4 linked regions of the Cricetulus griseus genome follow. The protein of the gene in region 2 interacts with the protein of the main gene of each other region in a pairwise test. Links are inferred from orthologs where the notes say so. Each region holds a gene or a part of one and is shown on either strand. Other genes may lie near its edges. The genes, in order: Ccdc57, Pram1, Skap1 and Fxr2.

What was found.
Region 1: the proteins of Pram1 (region 2) and Ccdc57 interact in binary tests that used the Homo sapiens proteins (3 or more experiments, as listed by UniProt). The two-hybrid records come from large-scale screens. The link is inferred for Cricetulus griseus from reciprocal best matches to the Homo sapiens genes PRAM1 and CCDC57.
Region 3: the proteins of Pram1 (region 2) and Skap1 interact in binary tests that used the Homo sapiens proteins (3 or more experiments, as listed by UniProt). The two-hybrid records come from large-scale screens. The link is inferred for Cricetulus griseus from reciprocal best matches to the Homo sapiens genes PRAM1 and SKAP1.
Region 4: the proteins of Pram1 (region 2) and Fxr2 interact in binary tests that used the Homo sapiens proteins (3 or more experiments, as listed by UniProt). The two-hybrid records come from large-scale screens. The link is inferred for Cricetulus griseus from reciprocal best matches to the Homo sapiens genes PRAM1 and FXR2.

What each region holds. Positions count from the first base shown.
Region 1 is NC_048600.1:133,382,917-133,390,144, reverse strand, and holds part of Ccdc57 (coiled-coil domain-containing protein 57), read left to right. Parts: intron 1-2,496; coding exon 2,497-2,598; intron 2,599-2,756; coding exon 2,757-2,914; intron 2,915-3,047; coding exon 3,048-3,122; intron 3,123-4,410; coding exon 4,411-4,611; intron 4,612-7,228. UniProt on the Homo sapiens protein: Pleiotropic regulator of centriole duplication, mitosis, and ciliogenesis. Critical interface between centrosome and microtubule-mediated cellular processes. Centriole duplication protein required for recruitment of CEP63, CEP152, and PLK4 to the centrosome.
Region 2 is NC_048598.1:95,322,129-95,330,050, reverse strand, and holds the start of Pram1 (PML-RARA-regulated adapter molecule 1), read left to right. Parts: upstream 1-3,559; coding exon 3,560-5,057; intron 5,058-5,140; coding exon 5,141-5,204; intron 5,205-5,277; coding exon 5,278-5,354; intron 5,355-7,794; coding exon 7,795-7,852; intron 7,853-7,922. UniProt on the Homo sapiens protein: May be involved in myeloid differentiation. May be involved in integrin signaling in neutrophils. Binds to PtdIns(4)P.
Region 3 is NC_048600.1:109,633,735-109,641,588, reverse strand, and holds the start of Skap1 (src kinase-associated phosphoprotein 1), read right to left. Parts: upstream 5,250-7,854; coding exon 5,195-5,249; intron 1-5,194. UniProt on the Homo sapiens protein: Positively regulates T-cell receptor signaling by enhancing the MAP kinase pathway. Required for optimal conjugation between T-cells and antigen-presenting cells by promoting the clustering of integrin ITGAL on the surface of T-cells.
Region 4 is NC_048600.1:83,474,133-83,481,835, forward strand, and holds the start of Fxr2 (fragile X mental retardation syndrome-related protein 2), read left to right. Parts: upstream 1-2,542; 5' UTR 2,543-2,898; coding exon 2,899-2,979; intron 2,980-7,703. UniProt on the Homo sapiens protein: mRNA-binding protein that acts as a regulator of mRNAs translation and/or stability, and which is required for adult hippocampal neurogenesis. Specifically binds to AU-rich elements (AREs) in the 3'-UTR of target mRNAs.

The sequences.
Region 1 (7,228 bases), on a different chromosome or scaffold from region 2:
GAAATTTTTATTTTAAACTATTTCTTGGCTGACAAGATGGCTCAGTGAGTAAAGGCTCTTGCTGCCAAGCCTGCCAACCTGATTCCAATCCCCAGAACTCACATGGTAGAAGTAGAAAACCAGCTACAGCAATTTGTCCCCTGACCTCTCCACAACTGTGCACATGTGCACACACACACACATGCAGATGGTTACGTGCAAGAAGATAAAATAATTCTTTTGGAGCCAGGCATGGTGGTGCACACCTTTAACCTCAGCACTTGAGAGGCACAGGCAGGTAGATCTCTGATTCCTAGGACAGGCGGTCTAAATAGCAAGTTACTTGGGGCTAGAGAGATAGCCCAGCAATTAAGAGCTCTGGCTGCTCTTCCAGAGGAGCTGGGTTCAATTCTCAGTACTCACGTGGTAACTAACAACTGTCAGTAACTCCAATTCCAGGGGAGCTGATGCAAACAAGCCCAGAGACAAATGCAGTGTACATGTTGCTGGCAAAACACTCATACACATTAAATTTTTTAATTACATAGTAAGTTCCAGGCCAGGCAATGCTAGATACCAAGACCCTGTCAAAAACTAAGACAAACAAAGCTTTAGTTTACATTTAATTTGACCATTTATTAACAATGAAAGCTAATTTGCACACTAATGAAATGGATGTGCTTGCTTATTTTCACATAGACAGTTAAATCTTGGCTGACTGACACGCAGAACATGAAGCATCTTCAAGTTTGTTCAAAGCTGGTTGATATTTCAACATCAATGATGAGAAGGCTGCTTTACATAAATATAGTACAAAATGACAGAAGTTTGTTCAGAGCCCTTTCATAAATGTTGTCTTTGGTCTAGAGAGATGACTCTCTAGAGTTTAGAGCAGAAGACCCAGGTTCAATTCCCAGCATCCATGTGGCAGCTCACAACCAACTATAACTGCAGTTCCAGGGAATATGATGCTCTCTTTTGGCCTCCAGGGACACCAGGCACACTTGTGGTACCCAGACATACAGGCAAAACAGACATACATGCAAGCAAAATATTCATATATGTAATATTATAAATATATATAAAGTAAATAAATATAAATACATCTAAAATTATTTTTTAGATTTTTTGCCCTAATCACAAACCAAATTCATTAAATTTTTATGTATGTATGTATGTATGTGAGAGAGAGAGAGAGAGAAGACTTGTATGTATGTACACAGGTAACTTAGAAGCCATAAGAGTGTGTTGGATCTCCTGGAGCTGGATATACAGGCTGTTGTGAACTACCAGTGCTGATGCTGAGAACTGAACCTGGATCCTCTGTAAAAACAAGCATTCTTAACTTCTGAACCATCTTTCTTAGTCCCCATTAATTTTTTAATTACATTTTATTTGGACTGTATATGGGCATGTATATAGAGATCAGAGGATAACTTGTAGGATTTTCTCATTCAGGTTCCAAGGATCTCACTCACATTTTCAGATTGAGGGTAGGTGACTTTACTTATGGACCCATCTTGCCAATGTAATAATTTTTTAAAAAGAAACATAAGTGATCCATCAGACAGTAATTTTTTTTGAGACAGGGTTTCTCTGTGTAACCTTGGCTGTCCTGGAACTCACTCTGCAGGTGGCCCTCGAACCCAGAGATCCTCCTGCCTCAGCCTCCCAAGTGCTAGGACTAAAGGCATGTGCCACCACTGCCTGGCATCAGACAGCAATTTTTTTGTTTTGTTTTGTTTTTCGAGACAGGGTTTCTCTGTATTGCTTTGGAGGCTGTCCTAGAACTTGCTCTGTAGACCAGGCTGGCCTCTAACTCACAGAGATCTGCCTGCCTCTGCCTCCTAAGTGCTGGGACTAAAGGCATGCGCCACCACCATCCGGCCAGACAGCAATTTTTAAAATTAAACGTTCTAACATAATAAAAGACAAAGATCTATAAAGATACATATTAAAGAATGATGGTAGGAAAATATTAAGTCTTTGTTTTCCTTAGGTAACTACTATGTGTGTAGAACAGAAAACTTTGTATGTACTATAAAAAACGTCACAATTCACTGGGCGATGGTGGTGCACACTTTTTTTTTTTAAGATTTTATTTATTTATTTATTTATTATGTATACAACATGCTGCTTCCATGTATATCTGCACACCAGAAGAGGGCGCCAGATCTCATAAAGATGGTTGTGAGCCACCATGTGGTTGCTGGGAATTGAACTCAGGACCTCTGGAAGAGCAGTCAGTGCTCTTAACCTCTGAGCCATCTCTCCAGCCCGGTGGCACACACCTTTAATCCCAGCACTTGGGAGGCAGAGGCGGGAGGATCTCTGTGAGTTCAAGGTCAGCCAGTCTACAGAGAGAGTGCCAGGACAGCCAGGGCTGTTACACAGAGGAACCCTGTCTCAAAAAAGCAAAAACAAACAAAAAATTACAATTCATGATGGACAGTGGTCTCAAGCCTGAGCCAAGATGTTTGAGGTAGCTGTTCTTCACTCCTGACTCTCTTGTTCCAGGAGCTGCTGCAGGAGTTCGAATCTGAAATTCAGAGAAAGGATCATGAGTTCCAACTGAGGGCTGATGATATGAGCAACGTAGTCTTGACCCATGAGCTCAAGGTAACTGTCCCTGCTGGGCTTTGCAGGCTTTCTGGCCTCCAGATTCCCGCTGTAATCACCCCGTGCTCACTGTTGCCCGCTGTAATCTCCCCCTGCGTGCTGCCAAGCACATTATTCTTCCCACCCAGCTACTCTCCTGGACCTTTTCAATCTCTCAGGTAAAACTGCTAAACAAAGAGCTGCAGGCTCTCAGAGAAGCTGGAGCACAGGCAACAGAGAGTCTGCAGAAGGCAAAAGCAGAGCACATCCAGTTGCAGAGGAAGCTACAGGACCATGCCCTGGAGCTCCAGAGTCTGGAGGCTGTAAAGGATGCTCGGTACGTGGGTTCTCCCCTACAGGCGCTGTGGCCGTCAGGACTAGATCCTGGTGACTCTGCCTTCCTAGCTTATTCCAGCTCTACTCTTTGGTCTCTTAGGTAACTGCTCCTTACTGATATGGTTTTTATTTAGGATAAAAGACTTGGAGAAGAAGCTTCAGTCTGTACAGCTGGCTAGGAAGAGAGCCGAGGAGACCTTCAGGAGGAAGTGAGTATTTGTGCCTGGGTGGATGTCTCTGGAAGAGTCTGGGTCATAGTCGCTGGAGACAAGGGCCCTATGATGGTAGCCTGTGCTCACACACCACTTTGCCTCCAAAATCTACTTCCTCAGAGATGGTTAGACCTTCAACATCTCAAAACTCAAAATGCTTCGAGGGCCAGGACCTCAGTTCGTTGGTAAAACACAAGCTTAGTGTGCCCAAAACTGTGGATTTACTCTCCAGTGCCAAAACAGGCTTTTAAAAAGCACAGCCTTAAAAGTTAGCTTTTATGGGTTAGTGAGATTGCTCTGTGCATAAAGTCACTTGCTACCACAGTGGGTGACCTGAGTTCCCTCTCTGGAACCCCACATGGTTAAAGATGAGAAGGGACTCCACACACATGCCCACCACTAAATAAATCAATACTTAAAAAATTAAAAGTTGACATTTGCAACTTGGATGTTTTATTGACTATAAGTTTTAGATTGTAGTCCCAAACTTTACCATGTTGACACAGTCACCTCTTATTCTCAAGGATGTGGATTCTCTGAGCTCTTTTCCTGCTGACCAGGGTAGGTTGGGACTCAGCCAACAGCAGCAGGTGTTTCACATTGCCAGGTGTCTGGGACACCCAGGAAGTAGATGGCGTGTTGGCTCAAGGTGGGAACTTCAACGGGGCAATTGACGCATTGCCCCTCCCCCAGGCTCCAGTGGGTTTAGGAGGTGCCAGAGCAGCAGAGTGGGGTCGGGGATGACGTGCTCCCAGACAGAAGAAGCTCAGCTCTAGGGTTTCAGCCCCCAGGGTTGACTTTCCCTTCGAAAGGAAACACAGTAACTAAGCTCCTGCTCGCTTAGGCGGCTTGGGAGGATGCTGTGTTGTAGGAGAGAGGATGAGGTGGGGACAAATTCTCTTGGGTTTTCTCACATTGTGATTTGTGCAGTTCAGACAAACGGATAAATTCAGGGAATTTTCAGGAATCTGCTGCTCTGGGAGGCAAGGAGTATCTGTACTCTCCATGGCTGGTCACGAGGCTAGGTGGTGTGTCAAGGGTGCTTTGTGAAGCAGTTCTGGTGTCTGTCTTGTGAGTTGGGGGGGGGCATCCAGGAGCCTGGCATCTAAGAATAGCTGCTTATACAGGAAGAACAAGCTCACCCATATGCTACGTCTGCAAAACTGAGAATAGGTAGGTGCTGCCTGCCGAGTCACCCATCTTGTCAGGGGTACTGTAGTGTAAGAAAGGATGACAAACAGAGCACTGAGTAAGCCATGGTGTGGGACTCTTCCCTGTGTTTCAGGAATGAAGAGCTTGACCGTCAGGCCAGGGAGAAAGACACATTGCTGGCAGCCGTGAAGGGCTCCCATGCAAAGCAGCTGCATGAGCTGGAGGCCAAGATGCTGGAGCTCCAAGCCCACTGTGAAACCCTTGAGGGCCAACTGCGCAAAGCCGAGTGGATTCGAGCTGATGATGCCAAGGAAAAGAATGCTCTCATTGACAAGTGAGCCAGCCATTGCCTCTGACCTGCCCTGCCCAACAGCCCTGTGTGCCTGTGCCCTGGGAAACTGCATGCAGCAGGTGGGAGGGGCTTTCGGGACTTTCCGGCCATTTTCTTTTCTAGCCATTTCTCTTATGTTTTCTTTTTAATTGTGTAGTTGTGGTAAAATATGCATAACAAAGTTTACTTACTATTTTTAGTTTTTGTTTTTCTAAGACAAGGTCTCATTTGGCCAAAGGTGGTCCAGAACTTCTCCATAGCCTTAGATGCCCTTGAGTTTATAACCCTGTGCCTCTACCTCCCAAGTGCTGGGACTGCAAGCATATGCCACTATACCTGGCCCTTTTAACCCCCTTAGACAGGGTTTCGATGTGTAGCCCAGGCTGCCCTCTAACTTATCTTCCTGCCTCACTTCCCAAGTGCTGGGGTTATAGGTGTGTGCCACCATGCCTGGCAAAGTTCACCACTCGGCTGTTTTTAGTGTAAAGGTCAGCGGCGTCAGTACATGATGAATGCCGTCGATTGGTAGACTCTCTCTCTCTCTCTCTCTCTCTCTCTCTCTGTTCCCACTCAGCACTGGCTCCCCTTCCTTCCCCCAGTCTTCTCCCTGCAGCCTCCAAACCACTTTCTCTGTGAATTTGCTAAGTCCAGGAACAGCGCACATTTATAATCTTATGGCACTTGCCCTAATATAACTGGCTTGTCACTGTCACAAAGACTCGAGTCCTCAAGGTTCACTCACATTTATAGACTGCTATTCTCTTAAATCATTGTGATTGTGTCAAAATACACATCTCCAGATGCCCTGGAGGACTCATTGGCCTCAAATGGTTATTGAGCCGCAGGTCCCAGCGTTGACATCTGGCCTATCATGCATATGCCCCACACACAAAACTTCCCCGTTCACACTCCTGCACTGACACACGAAAATGCCATGCATAACACAAGTTAACTATTTTAACGTGGCTGTTGAGTCAGTTTCTTCCTTTTAAGGCTGAAGGATACTCCCAATGCAAATAGGCTGCATTCTGTTTACCCACTCTGCACATATGGGTTGTTTTCACCGTGACCCCACAAGCAATGCTGTTGTAAGCTCAGATGTGCAGATCTCTCTTAGAGACTTTGCTTTCAAGTCTTTTGTGGATATGAACAGAATTGGAATTTCAGGACCATACAGCTCTGGGTCTAACGTTTTGTTTGTTTTTTTTTAAGACATCCTCCCTCTGTAGCCTTGGCTGGCCTGGAAGCCTTTATTCTTTTACCTCAGCCTAGTCAGTGCTGGAATTACAGATGTGCTCCAGTGCACCGGCTCCTTTCCAATGTCTAATGCAGGCCAGAGTGTTTGGGCAACCTGCTCCACTTATGCCTAGTGTCAGGAAACCGTGAGTGCTGGAGAACTGTTGTAATAGCACTGGGCGTTAGCACTGAGCCCCCATCCTGGGTGGTGAGGAAATGATCATGGGGACAGGACACTGTGTTCAGTAGAAACACTAAAGTCATGCCATTTGCTAATATTCCTAGACTTAGCAACTGGATATTTTGGGGATGGGTCTCTCTCTCTCTCTCTCTCTCTCTCTCTCTCTCTCTCTCTCTCTCTTTCTCTCTTTCTCCACAAATCACTGTCAAATTACATTTCTATCAGGGGAAGAAGTAGTCATAGAATTATGAGGTATCAAGAATTTTTTTGTTGTTTTTGTTTGTTTGTTTGTTTTTCGAGACAGGGTTTCTCTGTATTGTTTTGGAGCCTGTCCTGGAACTCACTCTGTAGATCAGGCTGGCCTCAAACTCACAGAGATCTGCCTGCCTCTGTCTCCCAAGTGCTGGGATTAAAGTGTGACATCAACGCTGGGCAAAGTATCAGGAAATTAAAGCTTATTCTGCATGGACTAGAGAGATGTCTCAGTGGTTAAGAGTGCTGACTGCTCCTCCAGGGGATCCAAGTTCAATCCTCAGCACTCACATGCAGACAAAATCCCCATATACATAAAGAAAAAAATAAAAAGTTTTAAATTGGCTGAGTGACGATGAATCTCTATGAGTTTGAGGCCAGCCTGGTCTACAGAGTGAGTTCCAGGACAGCCAGGGCTACATAGAGAAACCCTGTCTTGAAAAACCACATCAACAAAAAAATAAATTGTACTTTAAAATGCTTGTTCCACATTGCTTTGTTAAGTCTAGCATGCTCTTGTTAGCACAGTCTTGTTTGATCAGTGAGGCAGCCCACCTCAGTGAGCCAGCAATGCTCCAGGCGTGCTCTGGGTGCTGTGGGGGAGTGCCAGTTCATTGCTGAGTTTCCATTCCCTATCAGCATAGTTGCAGGGATGAGACCTCACAGAGCCTGGATGCTTCCTGCCTCCTCTTGAAGGCTTAAACTAAATGTTTTTGTTTTGGTTTTGAGAGAGGGTCTTGCTCTATATAGTCCTGGCTAGCTTAGAACTCATAATCCTCCTGCCTTAGCCTTCCAAGTGCTGGAATTACAATATGCCACACCCAGGTATAACTAGTTTTTAGTTTCTATCTCTAAGTATTTTTTGTTTATTAAGGCTTATTACTCCCCAGGCAGGGCATTATTATGACAATAGAAAACAGGACAGGGTGACATGTGCCTGTAATCTCAGAA
Region 2 (7,922 bases):
AGGCTATTTTGCTTCAAAAGGGTCTCAACTTTATTTTTCGAGACAGAGTCTCACTATGTAGCCTGGCTGCCCCGGAGTCTGTTATATAGATCAGAGCGGCCCTCCCAAGGTCACAGTGCCCTGCTGACAAGGTCTCAACTTTGTAGCCTGAGGCTGGCCATGCACTTAAGGTCCTCTTGCTCTCAGTCTCCAAAGTACTGGGATCACAGATGTGTGCCACCACACCTAGCTAGAACATATACTTTTGGGGGCCAGTTTCTTTAATTTTCTGAATCAGGGTCTATGTAGCTTTGGCTGGCCAGAAACTCTCTAGATTAGCCTTGGATTTGTAGTGAACCCACTATCTCTGCTGGGATTACAAGAATGCACCACTACTCCAGGAGCTTAGAACATGTGCTTTTTTGTGTAACAGTGTGACTCCAAGGATAGCAACCCATACTCACCTGTGCACTGGAGCCACCCTGCCACAATCCAAATAATCCTCCTGCTCAGACCACACCCCAGACTGGTGAAGTCAGCCTCCTGTTAACAGCTCAAGAGATTCTATTCTGTTTCCAAACAGAACCATCTCTGTCATCTGTTGAGTGTTTTGTTCCTGTGGACTGACTCTTGCCTTCAGGGCTCTCTTTTACCTGTGTCTACTTTGGTCCCTCTTTGGACTCTCAAGGGCCATTTCCATTCTTCCGCAACCTAGTCTTCGGATTTCTCCCCTCTCTACTTCCTTTAACTACTGGGAACTTGAGGTATCCTTAAAACCCCCTGCCTCCCCAGGGGCAATGATATTCCCTCGCCTCAGTGGCAAGTCTTTAACACCCCCACACCCCAAATCTGCTATCCCAGTTGAGCCTTATGCTTTGGGTGACCATCTCGCTGGGCTAGTGGGGGGCATTTGTTACCTTAACAGGGAAGTCCTATTGAGAGTACACATGTTGAAACAAGGGAGATGAAGCAACACAGGAGGATAGTTATGTCCTCACCATTGCACCAGCCATATCCTAGCTCTAACTCTTGACAGAAACTTCCTAAGCCCCAGAGCAAACTGTAACATCCACACTCATGTGCTCTGTTCCTGTAGTTGTCCTGAGTTTGGGCTTGGCCTGCTTCTTTGGAGACAAAGCCCATCAAGACCCCATAGTGTTAAGAGTAAAGGGGACAATAGGGGACAAGAGGCTAGTGACAGTTACTGTGTGTATTAAGAGATGTGCTTAGGTCTGTTGACATGAGCTAGCGAACAATAGTAGGCAGGCAGGAACTCAAGGGGAGGGGGGTGACAGGCCATTTCCGCCTCCTTCCTCCTGCCCTCCCCACCCTGACAGCCCCTACTTGGTGTGTCAGTCTGTGGAACAGAAAACCACAGATACTTCCTTCAAGCAGCAGCCTAAGCTCAGAGCCCACTCATCCTGTGGCCCATCACCCGCTGAAGCTATGGTGAGTTAGTCCCCAATCCCCCAGTGGAAGTCCATTCTGGCCAGGAAACAAGGGGCACAGGCGAAAACTGGGGAACTGGTAGATATGCCCCCATGGGTAGCTTGACAGAACAGAATTGGGAACAGTCTTGGGAATGAAATGGTGCAGACAAAGACAGAGAACAGCCAAAGCATAGCTTGAGCTCTTGTGGACCAGCTTGGATCTGTGACTGTAAGAGGAGCAGGTTGGGCTGCCTAGAATGATATCCCCTCACCCCAGGTCAGCATCTGGGATGAGAGCAGAGGCTTCCTGTGCGGTAATTAAGTGGGTCGTGCACCTGGGGCCCCAGCCTCCCAGCCCCAGCCAGTCATCCAAGCTTTGCTTTGCTAACCCTTCCTTATCTATCCCTGTGTTCATTTGGAGTTGTTGCCTCAACTCACTGACTAGGACTTCAATAAAGGCATCTGACTCTAGGCAAGAATTGCTTCCTTCCAGGGGTGCTTCTGAATTCCTTCATCACAAGGTTCTCCCCCCCCCCAATCTTCTTGACCTTAGGTGAAGGCAGGCTGGGAGAGTCCTCAGAAAAGGCCTTGTCTTGTGTATCTACCTATATCTGTAACCCATGGCAAATGGCCAGCTTTGAGAGCACTGGAAGTTATGAGCATGTCATATGGTGTATGTGCTCAAGTGGAGAGACTGCCTGATGGTTCTCATGGGGTGTTGTCCCACCCAGTGTATACCACCATCTTAGACTGAATTGTGTGCCTGTCTTTGTAGTCCTGCATGTATTTTATTGCTGTAAAATTTTCACTGAGTACCTATTATGTGCCAGGCACTGGGAAGTCACTGATGGGCTAGAGGGGCTAAAGTAGACAGCCATGTGTGCATGTGTGTGAAGGCTGGGTCTTCCTTGAAGGCGCACTACCTTCTTTTTTGAGACAAGGTCTCCAACTGCACCTGGAGCTTGTTGACTTAGCTATCCTAGCTGGCCAGCAAGCCCTAGAGGTCCTTCTCTCTGGGCCTCTCCAGAGGTAGGATTATAGGTGCTGCTCTGTACTGATAGAACTCAAGACACTCAGGCTCATATGCCAAGTACTTTGCCTACTGAACAATCTCTCTAGCCTTTCCCAAACAAAATTTTTTTAATTTGTTTTTATTATTTTATGTGCATCAGTGTCTTGCCTGCATGTATGTCTGTGTGAGGGTGTCTGATCTTGAAGATAAAGGCAGTTGTGAGCTGCCATGTGGGTGCTGGGATTTGAACCCAGGTACTCGGAAGAACAGACCGTGCTCTTAAACTGCCCCCCCCCCCATAAAATTTTAACAGTTTAGTCAAACGAGGCATGGTGGCACACACCTGTAATCCCAGCACATGGGAGGTAGAGCCAGGGGGATCAGGAGTTCATTATCCTTAGGTACATAGCAAATTTGAGGCCAGCCTGGGATATATGAGAGCCTGCCTCATATACAGCAGAACCAATATAAGAAATTTGATTAGTGATGGGAGATACAAAGAGAACAGGACAGAGGCTATGAGATGGGGAGGGATGTTGCTGAGTCATTCAGGGACTGTTTGCTTTCCCGGGAGACATGAAAACTCACTGAGAGATTGGGAACTGGAGATTTAGCAGGCCTCCTCTAGGGCAGCAGACCTGGGAGGAGCACATTACAACAGTACTCTGGGCTGTGGGGGGCAGTTCCTCCAACTGAGGCGACAGTGAGTAGTGGCTGAATTCCGGATGTATTTTGAAATTGGAACAAAAAGAACTGGGGAGAACCTGGTGGCCAGGCAGGGGACAAAGAGGGAACCAACAGGGAGCAGAAGGCCCAAAGGTTGAAGAAGATGCTGGGAAGGCATCACTGACTGTAAGTACCACGTGGGGGCTGTGGGCTAGTAGAGGGGCATCGGGAGCTAGGTCCAGTTAGAGATGAGGTTAGACTCAACTTGGAGGAGTCAGGAGGGTGTGGCTTCCAGGAACAGTTCTTACCAAAAAAGAGAAGCTGGCTGAGGTAGTGCTGTGGTTGGGGGAGAAGCAATGGTAGAATTCGAGCTGAAGGGAAGGGGTGATGGGTTTGTGTCTATGACCAACTACCTGTAGGTACCTAGTTGTTTCTCCATCTGCCTTCTCATATGAGACTTTCTGAATGAGCTATGCCTTCCCAGGGAAGCAATCAGGACTTCCGAAACCTCCAAGCTAAGTTCCAGGCCTCTCAGCAAGAACCTGGAGAACCATCCAGAAAACCCCCAAAGCCTGAGTTCAACAAACTCCTAAAGAAGTTTCCACAGACTGAATTAAGTGAGCAGCCCAAGAAGGCCTCACAGACTGAGTTTGGGATAGTGTCCTTGAAACCCCTGCAGATGCAGTTTGCAGAACTCCCCAAGAAGCCCTCGCAGTCAGAGGTTCTCAGAAAGTCACCGCAGCCTGAGTTCACTGAGCTACCCAAGAAGTCCCTACAGTCCGAGCTCAAAGATCTCCCAAGAAAGCCTCTACATCTGGAGTTCACTGGTCTCAAAAAGCCCTCACAGACGCAGTTCACAGCTTCCAAGAAGCCTCCAGAGCCCCAATTTGCCAGCCCCCCCAAGGCCCCACAGCCTGAGTTCATTAATCTCCCCAAGATGCTTCCCAAACATGAGTTTGGTGAGCTCACCAAGAAGTCTCCACCGCTTGAGGCACCTCAGGAGCCTATTGTACCTGCCCAGAAGCCCCGGAAGCCTGAGTTCAGCAATCCTGCCAAGCCCCCAGTAGAGCTCAAACCTATCACAGTCCCCAAAAAGTTCTGGCAGCAAGAGTCCAGTGAGGCCCCTCTGAAGCCCTTGCCACCTGAGTCCAGTACTTTTCCCAAAAAGTCACTGCAGCCTCAGGCTGCTGGTTTCTCTAGGAAGTCCCTGACACAGTCAGAACCCAGTGAAATTCCTCAGACATCCCTCTCCAAGCCTGGGTCCAGTGAGTTTTACCCTCGCTCCCCACAGCCTGATGTCAGCAACTTTCCCAAGAAGTCCCTGCAGTCTGAATTCAGTGATAAGATTCCATATCCTCAGGCCATTGGTTGCCCAAAGTCTCCACAGCAGTCCATGTCCTATGAGGTCCCCCAGACACCACCTTGGAAGCCTGAGTCATGTAACCCCCCATCTCACTCCCCGAAGCCAGACTTCCATGTATTTCCCAAGAAGCATCCACAGCTCCAGGTAAGTGACCTTACCAGGACATCTTCGGAGCCCGAAGTCCACAGAGTTCCCAAGAAGCCTCAGCAGCCAGACCTCCAAGCCCTCTCTAAGAAGCCCTCGCAGCCAGAACTGGGTCATCTCCCTAGAACATCCTCGGAGCCTGAGTTCGGCTTGCTCCCCAGGAAGTCTCTGCAGCCTGACTTTGCCAAGGCTCTGCCCAGAAAGCCCAAGCTTCCAGGTTCAGTATCCGAGTGCTCCCTGCCCTCTGCCTTTGCCAGCTCCAGCCCCCAGTTCTCCCTCAGCCCTGGGTATGGAGTCCCTGGGACACCCGGCTGGAGATCAGAAGACTTCCAAATTCGGCACCCGCCCCGGAGGCGACCTCTGCCTTCAGTCAGCAGCTTGGGATCCCCCCCAGCCAAGCCCCCATTACCACCCGTCCCCATCAATATCCAAAGCTTCCGGAGAGCCTCAGCAACAGCTACAGGTGAGTTAGGGTAAGTGGTTCAGGCAGAGGAGGGTAAAATATCTGGGCAAAGCCACTTCCCTCCCATGTTCTCTCCTCCACAGCTGTACTGAAGAGCGGCTCTTCTGGGACCCACTTCCCAGCCCAACAACTTCAACATATCTCACAGTGAGTGTGGGGAGAAAGGGGCCAGGCATGGGTGCAAGGCTAAAGGAGGCCCTCATCTCAGGTATCCCTGCAGGAACCCGGACGAGATCTATGAGCTCTATGATGCTGTGGAGGCCACAGGTGACTCTAGTCTCAGCCCCAGAGGCAGAGGTTTATAAATGGTCTAGGTGGTTGGCTTGGGCACCCATTCAATATTAGTTGCAAAGGCATTCTCTCAAGATCCAGGTTTAAGACAACAAAGTGACCCAGACCAGACTGGATCCAGGTGGGCCAGATAGTGAGAAAGGGGAAGCCCAGACACCCAACCAGCCAGGCTGACAATAGGCATAAGTATTGTTAAGTGAGGTGACAAAAGGCCTGGACAGCAATAGAAGGACTGTCCTTCTGCTTTGCAGAAATCAAAAAGGGCAAACCAGACTAGGTGGCATATCAAGCAGGGAACGAGTCAGATTGTGGCATGGCATCAGGTTCCAAAGCTGGGCAAGGTTAATTATAATACTGTAACTCTAGCATTTGGGAGGCAGGATCATCAGCTTTGGCTACTCAGCAATCAAGACCGGCCTGGACCACATGAGACCTTGCAAACAAAACCAAAGCAACCCCCACCCACCAGGTTCCTTTCAGCCCATCCCACGAAGATGTCCCAAGAAGATGTACGCCTGGAATCAGGAGAGAGGTGTGGGCTGGAGGCAGTGCAGCAGAAGGTTCTTTTCCTGTCTTCTAAGTCAATTTCCTGAGGGGCTCCAGGACTGGTGTCTCCATAACAACATGAAAGAGCTTTGATGATTCTGCAGCGGCAGCCAAGACAGTTACCCCATTACCAACAAGGAAGTTTAAGGATCTGAGACTGGGCCCAGCCAGTCTAGAGCTGTGGTGATTCCAACTGAGCCCTTCCTCTCCTAGCTATTCCCTGTCTTACTAGGGTTCCTAGGAGGGACTTTTAGCTTTGGGATATGCTTGCTCCCAGCTGGAGGTCCTGGTACAAAGCTAGATGCCTTCAAATTCTCCAACCTTTGCTCCTTTCTGGGCCTTTTGTTTGCTTCTCCTGGTCTATTCCAAGAGGGCCCCTAGTGCTTCTGTTGAAGGGATGCTCTATGGTTTGGGGAGTGGGGGGTTGTAAGCTTTGCTGAGAGGCTGGTCAGAGCTCTGGCCAGTTGCTAGGGTTAGAACCTTTAGAATTTAATAGACCATTTCCCACCACCCCCATACACTGCTTCAGTAACCACCTCTCTATCTTTACCCACAATTCTTCAAGCATGATCAAATACCAGACCCATCTGAGTTTCTCCTTTCAGTGCAATGGGTGAGCCTTCCTGTGGGCATAGCCTCTCAAAAGGCTGCTTTGTGCATTTCTGAGTCATCTTTCTAGTACAGTACTAGAGTGGCCTGGGACCACCAGCTCCTCCCTCTTATCCTTGGGCTCCTTTGGAACATGGCAGCTCCCCTACATCTTTTTTCAGCTGGGAACTCACCTGGAGGGTGGGGTCCAGTCTTTCCAGGATTGTGTGTAGACCAACATGAAAGAAAGATTATCATTGGCCTGTTCAGAACAAGCTGCAGGATGATCTCAGAACCACAGGGCTCAGTACTGTCACCAGTCAAGTTTGCTTCCAGCTGTGACAGCACTCAAGGCTGAGGCAAATCATGAGAAAAGCAGGTGCAGTGCAAGTTCTGGGTAGGACCCAGATCTCTGCCTAGAGAGCAGAGACCAGATAGAGTATGACAGGCACCCCTCTGTGGGCTGCTCATCAGAAAGGACAGTTGGTCCAAAGTGACATTTGAGTCATTAACAAAATGGGGCTTCTGATTCAGGCCCTCACTAACCTGCATCTTTAAGAGGCTGTCACCCTCAGCAACAGTTGGAAGCCTGGCCTACTGCTAGGAAGTGGTACAAGTCAACCTGCTGAGAAACCATACCAGTCAGTCTTGGCAGCTGAAGGTTCAGGCTAAGAAACCCTACATGGCCAGGTGGTGATGGTACGACTTTAATCCCAGCACTGTGGAGGCAGAGGCAGGTGGATCTGAGTTCAGTGCCAGCCTGGTCTATAGAGTGAATTCCAGGACAGTCAGGGCTTCATGGAAAAACCCTTCTTCAAAAAACCAACCAACCAAAGAACCCCACCCTGGTTGCTCCTCTTTAGAGGCAAGCTCTGGATGCTATAAGGGAATGCTTGCTTTTAGCTCTGAATCCCAAGTCTTACTACAACTCCCAACATATTCTGGGAGGCAAGCAAAATGGTTCCCAAAGTCTACAGCTTGTGGGCTGGTCATAGTGACCACAGCTTTAACCCTAACACTCAGGGATAGATAGATCTGAGTTTCAGGCCAGCCTGGTCTATACAATGAGACCAAAAACCAAGGCCTACAAATCCATCCCATCTTTACAATTTCACTAGCTGGGTAGCCTTGTACAGTTGACCAACTTCCCATCCTGTACTTTCCTCACCGAAATGAACCTTATTCACAAGAACTGATGAACCCTGAGAGAAAGGTATAGGAGAAAAGTGGTTGAGATTCAGGGAAGGTCCAAGTACCTACAGAGCAGGTTCACCCATCAAGCCTTTGTCCTGACTCTGTCCAATGTCCTCAGATGAAGTGCAGTCTACCCAGCGAACTACCAGATTGCCTCTGCAGGACACAGAGCTCAGGTACATGGGGCACTTGGGGTGTTATGGTGCTGGGCTGAGCTCTGGGACTCTGATAGAGGACACTTCTTAC
Region 3 (7,854 bases), on a different chromosome or scaffold from region 2:
CATCCCCATCAAGCTATTGGTGGTGGGCAGGAGTTACCAAAGACCATGAAAACAGCACAGCCTGTTGCCATTGCTCTAGGCTGCCTATTAGAACTTGATAGTAAGGCCCTACTGCTGAACACATCATACACTGTAGACTGAAGTTTCTGTCCCACCTGGTCCCACGCTGGTCCCACATCCCTTTGGTCCCAAATAAACACACAGAGGCTTCTATTAATTATAAACTGTTTGGCCTATGGCTCAGGCTTCTTACTGGCTAGCTCTCTCTTAATTATTAACCCATTTCTATTCATCTTTGTATGTCCACATGGCCTTATCTTACCAGCGAGTGCCTGGGCGTCCTACATTCCCAGTAGCTACATGGTATCTCTCTGGTGGTTCCTCTCTACATTCCTCTTCCAGAATTCTCCTAGTCTGGTAGCCCTGCCTATACTTCCTGCCTGGCTATACCCTTCCTGTCCATTGGCCGAAACAGCTCTATTCATCAGCCAATAAGAGAAACACACATTCACAGCGTACAGAAGGACATCTCCCATTAATACACTTTGATCATAGGGTTTGGAGAGATTAAGCTGGTGCTATCCTGGAAGCATACTACATGCTGGCTAGTTTTCATAGTACCAGAAGTTTTACCAGCTGTGAAGGCTGAGAGCTAGTGATAACCAGCCTGGCAAGATACTTCTGAGGTGCAATCGTGACATGAACGTTATAGGGTAATCAACCACTTTTTGATTGGATTTAAGGCCTGCTCCATAGGAAAAAACTCATGCCTGGTGCAAAAATGCAGCCAAAAGCCTATGATGAGGGAGTTCCATTGGCCTTAGGGATGAACCTACTATAATTTTACTAATATGCCTTCTGAATATATCTTTCTATCCATAGATAAGTGCATCTCTCGGACCTCATCAGAGAAGCTTTTTGGTATGGACAACAGCAGCTAATGCAGAGACTTACAACCAGTCATAGTACAGAGAACAGGTGTCTGTGGAGGGCTCAAGAATAAAATAGACGTTTGAAGCATACTGCCCTCTCCTTGATGCTCAGAAAACATTGTGGAGCAGAGGACAAAAAGACTGCAAGTGTCACAGGGTGAAACAGTCCTCTGAACATGACAAGACCCTTTGCCCTAGGAGCTTACAACAGTCAATTGACCAAGACAGTCAATATTCCAGCATGGGTAGGGAGGGGCAGACCAGCGCCTAACATAAGCTGATGGTTTCTTGGGGAGGGAGAGTCAATTAGGGGTATGGTATGGTCCCCCTGGTAGATTCACCAAGATCCAGGGGATGTCCCATACCATGAGTGTCTGAGTAGGACAAACTGGACTTGGTGGGTTGAGAGGACATGACGTTGAACCGGATGTAGCTGGGATATGAGAGAGGTTGGAGGGGGAGGAAGGCAGTGAATATGATCAAAATACATTGCATGAATGCATGAGATTCTCAAGGAATGAATAAAGATATTATACTAAAACCTGTAGACTGAATTATATGTTGTCTACAAGAAATACACTTTAATATTAAAACACAGGAAGGCTGGAAGTAAAAGAATGGGAAACAATCAGCAAGACAGACAGAAAGACTAGGGAAGTCAGAACTGCCGCAGTGATGTCAGGCAAAGTATTCTTCAAGGCAGGGGAAAATACCAGAGATAAAGAAGGTTATTTCAAAATGACAAAAGGGCCACATCACTGGGAGACATAACAATTACAAAAGAATATGAACCCAGTAACTGAGCTTCCAAGTACTTGAAGCCAACTGACCTTTTTATAGAACAATATGTCCCATTGCTCTCTCCCTCTTGTCAGTGCTGATGAACCTGGGAACTTGTGTGTTCTAGGCAAGTGTTCTGTTGTTCCCATATCTCTAGCTCTATTAAGTCTTGATTAAAAATTTAAAAGAGAGACTGGAGTGATGGCTAGGTAGGTAAAATGCTTTCTGTTCAAACACAAGGACCTGATTTCAAATTCTGCTACCCAAGTAAAACCTGGGTACAGCAACGCTTGTAACACAATACGTGTGATCCCAAAGCTGATTAATCACCTGTCTGTAGCCGGGCGGTTGTGGTGCATGCCTTTAATCCCAGCACTAGGGAGGCAGAGGCAGATGGATCTCTGTTAGTTCGAGGCCAGCCTGGTCTACAAAGCAAGTTCCAGGACAGGCTCCAATGCTACAGGGAAACCCTGTCTCGAAAAAACAAAAACAAAAACAAACAACAAAAACAGAAGAAAGAAAATGACCCACAGCTGGATTTTATAGAGGCATTTCTCAATTAGGTTGGAAGATCTCAAATGTAGACTGTCATGACATAACCATCCTACAGATGGATGGAATAGCTTCACTGGAAGGAAAGGTGTTGACATAAGTAGACTCGGAAATGAGGAGTCAGTAAAATGACCATCCATGGTGCTGTGTGTGTGGCGGGGTGGGGGGTGGGAGGGTGTCTGTGTCTGCCTGTGCAAGTCTGTGTGTGTGTCCGTGTGTGTTTGTGTGTGTGTCTGGGTCCACATCTGTGTGTGTGTGTGTGTGTGTGTGTGTGTGTGTGTGTGTGTGTGTCTCTGTGGGTGTGTCTGTCTATGTGTTTGTGTGTGTAGTGCATGCTCACACTTATACTAGAGATAGAACTCAAGTCAGACAAGGATACAAGGTAAGACCTTGACAAAAAAAAAAAAAACATCTGAACAACAACAAAATAATCTTGAATTATAACCCAAATTATAAATAAATACTCTTAAGTTCATAAGTAATATAAGTAATTAAGTAAATTAACAAATGGGAAGTAAAAGACAGATCTATAGTGTAGAATTCAAAATAATTTATGTAGATATTTTACTCCAAGATAAAGGAAACATACCTCCCAATCCTTGGGTATGGGCTGTACACAGCCACTTTCTTCCAAAAGACTGCAGAAAGGAAAGGGGAAATAGAGCAACTCCACAGAGGAGAAACTTGACACCAGCCAGGTGTTCATGGTTCAACATCAACCATCATAAATCACACCGACAGTGTGGACCCTTGATGCAATGTGGTGAAAATGATACTTTTGTGATCTTCCTCCCTTAAGCCTGTAACCCAGTCTAAACCTGAGAAGAATGCTAGACACATTCTAATACAGGGTCATTCTGACATTTACCTGACCAGCACTCCTCAAAAGGTTACACTCATTAAAAACAAAGGGAGTGTGGGAGACAGTCACAGCTGTGAGGCACCCAAGAAGACCTGACTGTATCCTGGATAGGATCCTGAGATGGAAAAAGGGCATTAAGTAAAATCAGGAAAACTGAATGAACTGTGGGTTTTAGGTATGTGATGATGCTGGTACGTTAGACATAACCAAAGCACCTGTCATGGCTAATCTTGGCTGTCAGCTTGACTACATCTGGAATCAACTAAAACCCAAGCAGTCGGGCATGCCTGTGAGGGATTGTCTTCATCTCATCATTTGAGGTCAGAAGACCCACCCTAAATCAGGCTCATTTGAGGTCAGAAGACCCACCCTAAATCTGGGCCACACGTGCCGGTAGCCGCCCACATAAGAGGCCACGGAAGGAGGAAGCTTTTCATTTTGCCTGCTTGCCCTCTCTCCCACCATCAAGTTCAGCTATGTGGCAGCTGAGAGGTTCCTTTGCTGTTATTAGAACCCCCGTCTTCAGTATTTCAACACAGACCAGAGACCAGCTGAGATGTCTAGTTTCATGGACTGAAAAACTACTGGATTCTTGGCCCTTCTGTTGGCAAAGTGCACTGTTGGACCAACCAGACCACAGCGTGTAAACCATTCTAGTAAATTAATTCCGTTTCATGTAAATAGATCCATTCTATCAGTTCAGTTCCTCCAGAGGACCCTGACTAATGCAACACCACACAGACGTAAAATGTTCTAATTAAGAGAAAGTGGAGGAAAGAGAAGGGTTAAGGGAACTTGGCATCACCTGTTTAATATTCATGTAAACCTAAACTTTCCACAAAAATTCAATTAGTAAAAGCTGTAAACCATGTAATCTGAATGCGCTAAATCTGATTATTTAGCAAGATGGGTAAAAAACGCTAGCTTCCAAGACTGAACACAGGAGTGCAATTCCTGTGTCCCTTATGGTGGAAGGAGAAAATCAAGTCCTGAAAGTTACACACACACACACACACACACACACACACACACACACACACACACAAACTAACTAGAAAGTTAAAATATAGGGCTCGGTGCATTCATTTTAGAGTCACTGCCACACTCCGGTTGGGCACTGTGATGAGCATCAGAACTTCAGCAGAGGTCACTACCAGGTGGTGGAACGGCAGCTATTCTTACCATCTTATTTGTATTTCTAGATGTGTGTCTATTTCTAAGTTGTATGTTTCAGAATAGAAAAAAATAGTACAATAAAAATCAGTGTAAACCCTGAGATACTCACGGTTTAGAGACCCTTTACTTTCCATTCCCCACCCTGGATTCATTCAGTGGTAGAGGACCTGACTGGCTTTCACATAGTCCTTAACAGGGTAGGGTTCCAATGGGCAGGTACAGGAAGTGGGCAGCAAAGATGATGCTATGTTTGGGTCCTATGGCACAAGCCCATGATCCTAGCTACTCAGGAAGCTGGGGCAGGAGGATGGAAAGTGGAAGGCCAGCCTTAGCAATTCAGTGATGCACTTTCTCAAAATAAAAATACAAAAGGCACTGGAGATATTACTCAGTGATAGGGTATTACCTACCTTGCTCAGGCCTGGGTTCAGTCTCCTGTAGTATATGATGATGATGATGGTGATGATAAAGAAATCTTATGTGATGTGGTAAGTCAAACTGTTCACTTTCTTCTTGTAGAACACACATGGATATGAACTTGTGCACACACACACACACACACACACACATACACACACACACACACACACACACACACACACACACACACACACGCACACACGAAATCATTGAATTTACCTACTAAATTCTTCCTCCACCCAGTTTTACTGAGGTAAAGTTGATATTGGTCCTTACTAAGTTCTTGTAAGTAAAATACCTGCCTACTCCATATGCGGAAATGTACCAATGGGTTATAATTACGGCCCTGTCGAGGCTGCTAAGGATGAGTTGATTCTTTTCTTAAAACTTGTCCTGTTTTAGTTTTCCTTCCGATTAATTATGAGAAAGCCTTTCCTTAGATACTTCAGGAGTGAAGTGTTTGTTTCTTTACCTGCAATCAGCATCTTCTTGGAGAAGTAAAAAGACACAATGATGACCTCTGCCATTGATCTCATTGTTTATTTAGAATGCACTCTACAGATACACCCACAAGCTTTCTAGGTGAAATATAGAGCCAAGAAAACAAGAAGTCAGAAGGAAGGGCTACATGCAGGCTTGTGTTTTTGATATTGCGTTCAGCCTCCAGCAAAATCCTGATATGAAAACACTAAGGAAAGAAATTAGAGAAACTACTTCACTCTTTGATTGAGAAGGTGGAGCTTCTCACGGTGAGAACCCAAGGGGCCTGGGCAAGCCGTCTCGAAGATGCCAGATAGGAAAGAGATCTCAAGCTGTCCTGCAATGCCCCACCTCTCTCTAGTCACCATTCTGCTAGTAGGTTTTCCCATTAAGTAGATAACAGATTTGCTAACAAGAGCTCTTTGTGGGGACTGGAGCTTGCCTGGTGTATATGCAAGCTCCTGGATTTGACATTTGGCACTCAATTTCTTTAAAAAGCTGCCAGATCGAGATGCCTTGGGGTCTCTGCAACTGCAATATCCAGTGTCAATAAGGAGGATGAGGCACTCATGGGGTCTGCCCAACAGTTGCCTTCAGCTAGAGAGTGAGCAATACCATGTGACACTCAAGTCCTCATAGGAAAAGATGCCAGCCACCTGCCATAAACAATGACACACACAAATGCCTCTATTCTTCATCACGTATTCAATGGGCACCGGGAAAACGAGCAGGACACACACGAGCAAAGGACAGACAGTCAAATGCACAACTAGAATTATGACAGGAGCTACCAAAAAGGGAAGTGCGGAGCGTAGGAGTGACATTCACAAATGTCTCTGGAGGTCAGGGACAGAGGTGAGTTACAGAGAATGAAGAGATTTAAACTTGAAGAGCTAAACAAGGTCAGGAGGGGAAAGAAAGGCGGCAATGTTCATCTAGAAGGCACACTCATAAACACATAGTATGGTGCACTACAGTAACACACGATTGCTTTAAATCTCATATTTAAAAGGTAAACACAGCTTTGGCAAAGACATTAAAATTCACACCTGCCCTAAAAGGAAAACGCCCTCAGGTTTCAGACATCTGTGCAAGGAAGTCAGAACAGGAAAGAAAAAAATAAATAAATAAAGGACTGGGACAAGGGAGTAGAAGGCATGTACCACACTGGAGGCACAATACGGTCATCATGTCCCAGCAAATACCCACTAATGCGCTAAGGCTGCCTGCCAGGAGGGGCCCAGACCTCCTGGTTCAAGGCTAGTAAGAGTGTCTGATATTTTCCCCAAATTCTCTGACCTTGTCCCTTTACAAAGTCACTATTTTGTTTATTTGGAGAAGAATAACATCTTAAGGGTCACATTTTTTTTTTCCTAACGACTGAAAGATAAATGTGGCTTCTTCCTGTTTTCTCAAAAACACTCCTGACACTCTGGGGGGAAAATACTTCAGTCAGTGCCGCTAACAGTTGCAAATGTTCTTTGTTGATATATGTTTCTAAAACTCAAAAGTTTGCTTCAATCAACCTTTTATTTGGAGGCAAGATGAATGACCCAGTGCTGCTGAAAACAATTCCACCAACCAAATACCAATAAAAGTGTTCCTAGAGGGGATATTGTGTGAAAGAATTTGAACCGCTAAAGCAGAACTCGCATTTCTGAGAAGAATAATGGATACATTTCTGCCTGTAACTGGCATTGCACCCAAGAAAACAGTTGAGGTGTTTGTTTTGGTCTGTGGGTAAAAAGGATTAAGATAGGTCAAAAATGTTAATTTTAACTAATTAATTGAATTAATTCCATGGACTTACTGGCTAGTACTCCAGGTTTCTTTTGCTCTAAGAAGAACCCCCAAATTATCTGCATATACCATTTAAGCATAAATGACTGTCCTAGCCAGGCAAGACCACAGAAATGCCCAGCTTCTCTGGTTACATTGAGTTAATCCCTGTTTTACTTCAACAACCCTCTGCTGATTTCTGCCATTAATACCTGACCCTTCCCAGGCTCTTCCTTTTATCAATACATCTCCACACCTTTTCTTCCTTATTGCCCATAGATATTTTATTAGTCAGGGCACACTGTGTGGACAGTTTTGTCTACTGTATTTCTACTTCTAGTTTTTTACTTGCTGTTGTCTGTGAGCATTTGCTTAGGACACCACTACTGTTTGAATGCCTGTGTCTCCCCCAAATCCACATGCTGAAACACAGCCACCAATGTGGTAGTATTAAAAGGTGGGACTTTTGGAAGGTTATTGACTGTCCTGATGGAAGTCAGAGCTCTAATAAAAAGAGGCCCTAGGGTCACTACTTGCCCCTTTTACCACGCAAGGGCACAGAAAGTGTCATCTCTAAAAAGTCAAGCAGGTCCTCACCAGACATCAAATCTGAAAGTGTTTTGGTCTTAACTCCCTAGTCTGGAAAACTATGAAAAATAAATATTTGCTGCTTACAAACTGTTTATAGCATAAATGAATATTTGTGGCTTATAAACTGTTTTGTTAGAGCAGCCCAAACGGCCTAAGACAATTATTAAATACTGCTCCCCTGCCTTCAACGGGCTTAGAAGTTACACATTTTAGCATTTTGTCCGTAGTCTGCTTTACCCTTATGATTTAAAAAAGAATGTAATCCTGTCCCTCAAGTTAACA
Region 4 (7,703 bases), on a different chromosome or scaffold from region 2:
TTGTCCTCCCACACATGTACACCATGAACACATATACATACAATAATAATAATAAATACATGAAATATAGATGATCTGTCCTCTGATAAGAGTTATCATTTCTATTTATTTAATTGGTTTATAGTCTTAGTGTGTCTGGGCCTGGCTTGGAACTTGTAAATCTTTGCCTTACAAATTTTAGAATTACAGAAAAGATCTACCATGCTTAACTGGACATTTTATTTTTTAGTTTTTCAAAACAGGGTTTCTCTGCACAGCTCTAGCTGTCCTGGAACTCAATCTGTAGACCACGTTGGGCCCAAACTCAGAGATCTACCTGCCTTTTCCTTTTTTTGATGGTATTAGATGCAATGCCATTGCCACCACTACCACTGGCTTAATAGGACACTTTATTTTTTTTTAAAGATTTATTTATTATGTATACAGTGTTCTGCCTGCATGTATGCCTGTACATCAGAATAGGGCACCATATCTCATTACAGATGCTTGTGAGCCACCATGTGGTTGCTGGGAACTGAACTCGGGTCCTCTGAAAGAGCAGCCAGTGCTCTTAGCCTCTGAGCCATCTCTCCAGCCCATTAATAGGACACTTTAAAAACATTCATTTTTGTATGTGTGTGGCCATGCCCTTAAAAAGCATGCTTATGGAGGTCAGAAGACACCTCCAGGACTCTATTTAGCCCTTCCGCGTGTTCTGTGGACATCACTAGTCTCAGTGACAAACACTCTTACTTGCTGAGCCATCCTGCAAGCCTCTAATAGGGCTTTTTTTTTTTTTAGAAAAAAAAACTTATATTTTTTAAAGATTTTATTTATTTATTTATTTATTATGTATACAGTCTTCTGCCTGCATGCCAGCAGAGGGTACCAGATCTCATTCAAGGTGTTTGTGAGCCACCAAGTGGTTGCTGGGAATTGAACTCAGGACCTCTGGAAGAGCAGTCAGTGCTCTTAACCTTTGAGCCATCTCTCGAGCCCAGAAAGAAAAAAAAAAAAACTTTTATGTATGAGTATTTTGTCTCCATGTATGTATGTGAGCCACATGTGTGCCTGGTGCCTACAGAGGTCATAATGAGTGTCCAGTCTCCTAGAACTAGAATTACAGAGAACCGGGGTTCAATTCCCAGCACCCACGTGGCAGCTCACAACTGTCTGTAATTCCAGTTCCAGAGGACCTCACACCCATGGCAAAATACAAATGCATATAAAATAAAAATTAATAAAATTTAAAAAAAGAATTACAAGTGTTTGTGAGCTGCTATGTGGGTACCAAGAACCAAACTCAGGTCCTCTGGAAGAGCAGCAAGTGTTCTTGACCACTGAGCCATCTCTCTAGCTTCTTTTAGTAGGGTATTTATTTATTTTCTAGACAGGTTTTCTCTGTGTGGCTTTGGAGCCTGTCCTGAAACTAGCTCTTGTAGACCAGGCTGGTCTTAAACTCACAGAGATCCTCCTGTCTCTGCCTCCCAAGTGCTGGGATTAAAGGCGTGCACCATTGCCGGGCTAGTAGGGGTTTTTGGATTAATTACAATTTTTTTTTAAGCCGGAAAGTGGTGGCCCACTACAGAGCGAGTTCCAGGACAGCCAAGGCTACACAGAGAAGTCCTGAGGGTGAACATGAGTGATGTCACACATGTGATGGTCAGAAGACAACTTGCTGGAGGTGGGGGTAGCTCCAGGAATTGACCCCAGTCGTTAGGCTTTATAGTTGAGCATCTTCAAGGACCGATTTTGTTTTGTTTTGTTTGAGAATTTTTCCTGTCTTGAATTTCCTTAGCATTTATGTATCAAATCATGTTGCATTTTCTTTTCGATATGGGCTTGAATTTACTAGAATCAACTTAAGGCAAGCAGGGCAATGACAGGCATTTCTGTAATTTTTGCACTTGGGAGGTATCAGGAATTCAAGGTCACTCCCCAACTGCTTAGTGAGTTCGTGGTCAGCCTAGGATACAGGAGACCCAGTCTCACCAAACTTAAGAAAATCCACTCCAGCCAAGAACCGTGACTCTTGAATCTCCTACAGATGCAGAGAGTCAACACATGCGCATGGACACCAAAACCCGGGGCGCGTGCGCACCGGACACTTTTTGCCTTCGGGCTCCCCCCCACCCCTGCCCGCACTTTGGAGTGTGCGCACCAAGAAAGACAAAGGTGGTGAAAGTGACCAAGCAGTCATTCCGGCGCATGCCCATCCCTAAATTGCTCCGGCTCTGTGGGGCTCACTTGGTGGAGGCGGAAGTCCAATCCGACGGAGCGGGCGCGGCCCCTCCCTTCTCGTGATTGGTTTGCTCACAGTGTTGTGGGGCGGGGAAAGGAAGGGACAGGGATAGTGGAAGGCTGGGGAGCTGGAGATAGAGCGTTCATCTGGTTCTGCGCAAGCGCAGAGGAGCGACCAGGAGGGGGCGTGAGAGAGTAGAAGAGAATGTGGAAGCCCTGACGCGCTGGCGAGCCGGAGCTGGGTCGCTAGCCTGGACGCCTGCGCCTTGGCCCTCGGGCTCCGCGCGCGGCGGGCGGGTGCCCTGTGCGCCTGCGCAGTAGGCGGCGGCGGCGGCGGCAGGGGAGGTGGAGGCCGTGGAGCGGCAGCGGCAGCAGCGGGTCCCGGACTGAGGCAGCAGCGGGGGGCGCCGGCGGGCGGAAGCTGAGGTGACGAAGGCGACGGCGGCGGCCGTTTCTCTCACGGTGGCGGAGACCAAGGCAGTGGCGGACGGGGAGCGGCCCGGCCCCGGCCCCCTGCTCGTCGGCTGTAGCAGGGCCGCCGTGGGGCCGGCCCGACTCCCGCCCCCCGCGGCTCCCCCTCCAGCTCCTCCTCCTGGGAGACGCCGGGGGCCCGGCCCGGCCCGCACTCAGAGCTCTGCCTCCGCTGCTGCCGCGGCAGTCGGAGGTGGTGGCGGCGCCATGGGCGGCCTGGCCTCTGGGGGGGATGTGGAGCCGGGACTGCCCGTCGAGGTGCGGGGCTCCAACGGGGCCTTCTACAAGGTGAGACGGTGCGTCGACCCGGGACACCCTCCTTAGCCCCCTCCCCCAGCCGGAGCAGGGAAGAGTGGAGCGGGCTCGAGTTTCTGGAGCTCGGTCCTGACCCTTAGAACCTCGACCCACGCTCCCACTCGACACCCTCTCGGGGAGACCGTGGGAGTTAACCCTCGTGCTTTTTTCTTTTTGAGCCCGCTGTTACACCTGCTTTCATCCTCAGCTGAAAGCATGAACATCAGGTCATTACTGCGCGTGGATGGGCGCTCCTGGTCCCTCCGGAGAAACCCCTTTACTCAGCTTCTAATTGACTTTTCTTGTTTCTTAGTGGAGGAGCTACTTCAGCTCCTAATCACATCCTTTCCACGGCACAAGCACATGGGAGAGTCTTTCTTTTCCTACATAACCCTCTTGGGAAGGCCCACTGTCCCATATTAGGTCTTCGGTCTTCAGGGAGGTTTCTGCCTACTGGCTCTAAACCATTTACTCAACTTTCATCTTATATTGTAGGTCTCCATCTAAGAAGAAATGATCAAAACCCACGTGTGTTATTTAGCATCTTTGGCCTCAGGCTTTATCAGCCATAAAAGTGGTCTTGTTGGACAAGTCTGTCACCCCACCACACCTTTATCCCGAAACCAGCTACCCAGAGATGGATTCGTGTTTCTCTCTTAGACTACAGCTACATTTAGGTCATTCCTGTGTTTTCTTAAGTTTAGGCTTCCTTAAAAGGGTGTCTCAGCAAGCTTCTTTTCTGTCCTTATTCTAACAGATTTCTACTTGTTGACAGTCTTTTCTGGAAAGAGAAAGTATCTTTCAGAATTGCTAATTTCAGCATTTCTTTGCCCAAGATTTGATTCCTTTGAAGTGTTTTGGGGGGTGGGGTTGTAACATGTCCTAGCCCAGGCTAAACTCCTACCTCAGCCTTTCAAATTCTGTGACTATATTACAGCCTCGATCTATCAGACCAGACCGGCCTTTTGTTTTTTCCTTCTTTCTATTCATACATCCATCCGACTCTCTGCATCTGGGCTCCCCCTCCCCTCCAGTTTAGATTAAGAGTGACTCTTCTTGCTCCACAACTGTTTTCCTTTATCTGGTAGGTGGAATTCTGAACCTCTTTTGAGGTTTTTTGTTTTTGTTTTTTGTACCCCAAGACAGGGTTTCTCTGTGTAACCTTGGCTGTCCTGTGCTCTGTAGACCAGGCTGGCCTCAAGCTCATAGCCTCTGCCCCCAGCACCGCCCAACTGTTGACTTTTATGTGTGGAATTGTCCTAGAAACTTTTGATCCACCCCTTACTCTTTACTCTGAAGAGGGATTTTCATAGCATCAGGTAAGTTAGAGGAGCTGCCTCACTTGAGTTCTCAGGTCCATTCCCCTTCCCCAGGAGACCTTTCTGCTTTCTCATGCCCTTGGAAACTACTTTCTCTGACTACTATGAAATTGTATCTTTTGTAGCTGAAGAAGGACTTGTGCTTGCCCTTGTAGATGGTTTCTGCCCCCACTTGACTGATAAGTTGGATTTTACTCACTATAAATGCCATGCCAGTTTTGCCTGCCTTTTCTGATTAAGTTCTTTACCCTTTATTCAGTGCATATGGGTGTACATATCTATTAGTCTCAGCGTATCCTCTCAATTAAATCTTGGGCTGTTCATCTTGATATATATATTTAATTTTATGTACAATGGTGTATTGCTTGCATGTATGTCTGTGTGAGGGTGTCAGATCCCCTGGAACTGCAGTTACAGACAGTTGTGAGCTGTCATGTGGGTGCTGGGAATTGAATCAGGGTCTTCTGGAAGAGCAGCCAGTGCTCTTACTGTGGAGCCATCTCTCCAGCCCTTAACTTGATGTTTCTGTATTCCTGTGTAATCTTCACTGATGTCCATCTATTCTTTGTATAGCTGAAGAAAGCTCCCAGCTGATCTCTGACACTATCACTTTCCTTGCTAACTCTTGGTACTTTTTCTTCTGACTGGAAGAATATCTTGATAACATTTGTTTTCTGTGGCAAAAGTCTCAAATTCCTATCAGGTTCTGTAGGACACACACACACACTTTTTTTTTTTTTTTTTTTTTGCGACCGGGTTTCTCTGTGTAGCCCTGGCTTTCCTGGAACTCATTGTGTAGATGTAGACTGGGCTGGCCTACACTCACTGGGATGGTTCAGCTTCTGTTGACTAGGGGATTAAAAGCATCCACAACCACGCCCAATTTGGAAAATGATTGTTAAATTGAGTATGAGATCAAGATAAGATACTTTTGTTCTAGAAAGCATGGGAGCCTTGCACAGCTGAGAAGGATTAGTGCTGAGTTCAAATTAACTGTATGAAATGGTTGGGAAGGGTGTGTTTTCTGTTACATATGTGAGTATCCAGTATCAAACAGATAGTCTCTGGATTTTTTTCATTTTTACCTGTGGGCCATAGCAGTGACAGATTTGAGTGAAGGGGGCCAGATTCTCTGATACAGAGTTAACAGTATCTATTAGTATTTATTTAAGCCTAGCAATTTAAATCCTGTGTTCTAACCACTTTAGCAATTTCTGTCCCATGACTGAGTTAAAACAGTTCCTTACAATTGGACTAATCTTTCTTAAACTCATATGGGTTTTTGTTTTGTTTTCTGAGACAGGGTTTTTCTGTGTAGCCCTGGCTGTCCTGGAACTCACTCTGTAGACCAGGCTGGCCTTGAATTCAGAGATCTCCCTGCCTCTGGAGTGCTGGGATTAAAGGCGAGTACCACCACCGTCTGGCACTTTCCTAAACTCAGTAAATTGAGATTGCTTATCTATTCCAACCTTGCTGATTAATATTCATGACTCAGCAAACTTTGGTGTGAGTAAAGGAGTGTTAACCTGTCTTTTATATCTGTAAATTTGAGGAGATTCTTTTTGCCTCTCTCAAAATTGTGTTTTATTGATTTTTTTTTTTTCCAGGGCAGATACCAGGTCTAAGATCTGAGTTATTTTATAAGTATCCTATCAAGCTCTCCTTTTTTGTTTTAAGGTCTCAGGTGATTCGGTCTGGCTTTTAGCTGAGGATGACCTTGAACTCCTGGTCTTACTGCCTCCAATTCCCAAGTATACACACCACCAACCCCAACTTCATAATTTTTTTTAAAAATACTTTTGTTCTCCCCCTGAAATAATTTATTTATTTTTATTTGCATTGGTGTTTACCTTCTTGTATGCCTGTGTGGGGGTGCCAGATCCATGGACCTGGAGTTACAGACAGTTGTGGGTTGCCATGTGGGTGCTGGGAATTAAACCGAGGTACTCTAGAAGAGCAGCCAGTGGTTTTAACTCTGAGCCATCTCTCCAGCCCCCATAATGGGTTTTGTTTGTTTTGTCTTTTTTACTATTTTGTTTTTGTTTTTCAAGATGGGGTTTCTCTGTGTAGCTCTGGGTGTTTTGGAACTTTGTGCTGTGGATGTGGCTGGGCTGGAACTCAGACCCACCTGCCTCTGCCTCTAGTGCTGGCATTAAAGGCGTGTGCCACCACCAACTGGCCAGCATTCTCCCCCCTCCACCCCAGACAGGGTTTCTCTGTATAGCTTTGGAGCCTATCCTGGCACTCACTCTGGAGACCAGGCTGGCCTTGAACTCACAGAGATCCGCCTGCCTCTGCCTCCTGAGTGCTGGGATTAAAGGTGTGTGCCTGGCCAGCATTCTTTCTTAATGGGACATTATCAGCTAGAAAACATGTTTTTTGTCTTGGCTCCTTTGTCCTAGAATTCCTTTTCTTCTGAGGGGTGAAGATGGAGACTAATTTCATATCTTTTTATTTAAGGAAAGTAAAGTGTCTAGAAACTTAAGAGCTTTCTTTCTTTCTTTCTTTTTTTGTTTTTTTTTTTTTCGAGACAGGGTTTCTCTGTGGCTTTGGAGGCTATCCTAGAACTAGCTCTGGAGACCAGGCTGGTCTCAAACTCACAGAGATCCACCTGCCTCTGCCTCCCGAGTGCTGGCGTGCGCCACCAACCCCCGGCTAGAAACTTAAGAGCTTTCTAACAGATTTTATGGTATGTACTTGCCTGTTTCTCCAGTGGCATAGACCAAACAGAACTTAGGAGTTCCTTTTTCATCATGTTCTCCAGAGAAAACCTTGTCTCTGAAGTGAATGGGTAGAACTAAGAGGCAGAGGTAGAGCTGGAATATGATGTTGGAAAGAGCGTGTATTCTGGAAAATAGTTGGAGGGAAAAAGATGCTGGAGGTAATAAAAGGGTAAGTGGCATTGCGTTACGCTGCAGAAGGATGGTTCTACTCTGAGCTTAGCATATTACCTTGGAAGTCATCATTTGTTGAAAAAAAATAAATGGTCATTACTACTTACTTAATAAGTCTACATTCACCCTAGGGGGAAAATTCTTGGGAGTTGGACATTTTGGATAAAGAGTTTGATAAAGCTGGGGGGTGGCGCACACCTTTAATCCCCGCATTCTGGAGACAGGCAGGAGGATCTCTGTGAATTTGAGGCCAGCCTGGTCTACAGAGTAAGTTCCAGGACAGGCTCCAAAGCTACACAGAGAAACCCTGTCTCAAAACACCAAAAAAGGAAAAAACAAGTTAGATAAAAGGTTAGGCTTGAGCCGGGCATTGGTGGTGCAAGCCTTTAATCCCAACACTCAGGAGGCAGAGGCAGGCGGATCTCTGTGAGTTCGAGGCCAGCCTGGTCTCCAGAGCGAGTGCCAGGATAGGCTCCAAAGCTACACAGAGAAACCCTGTCTCGAA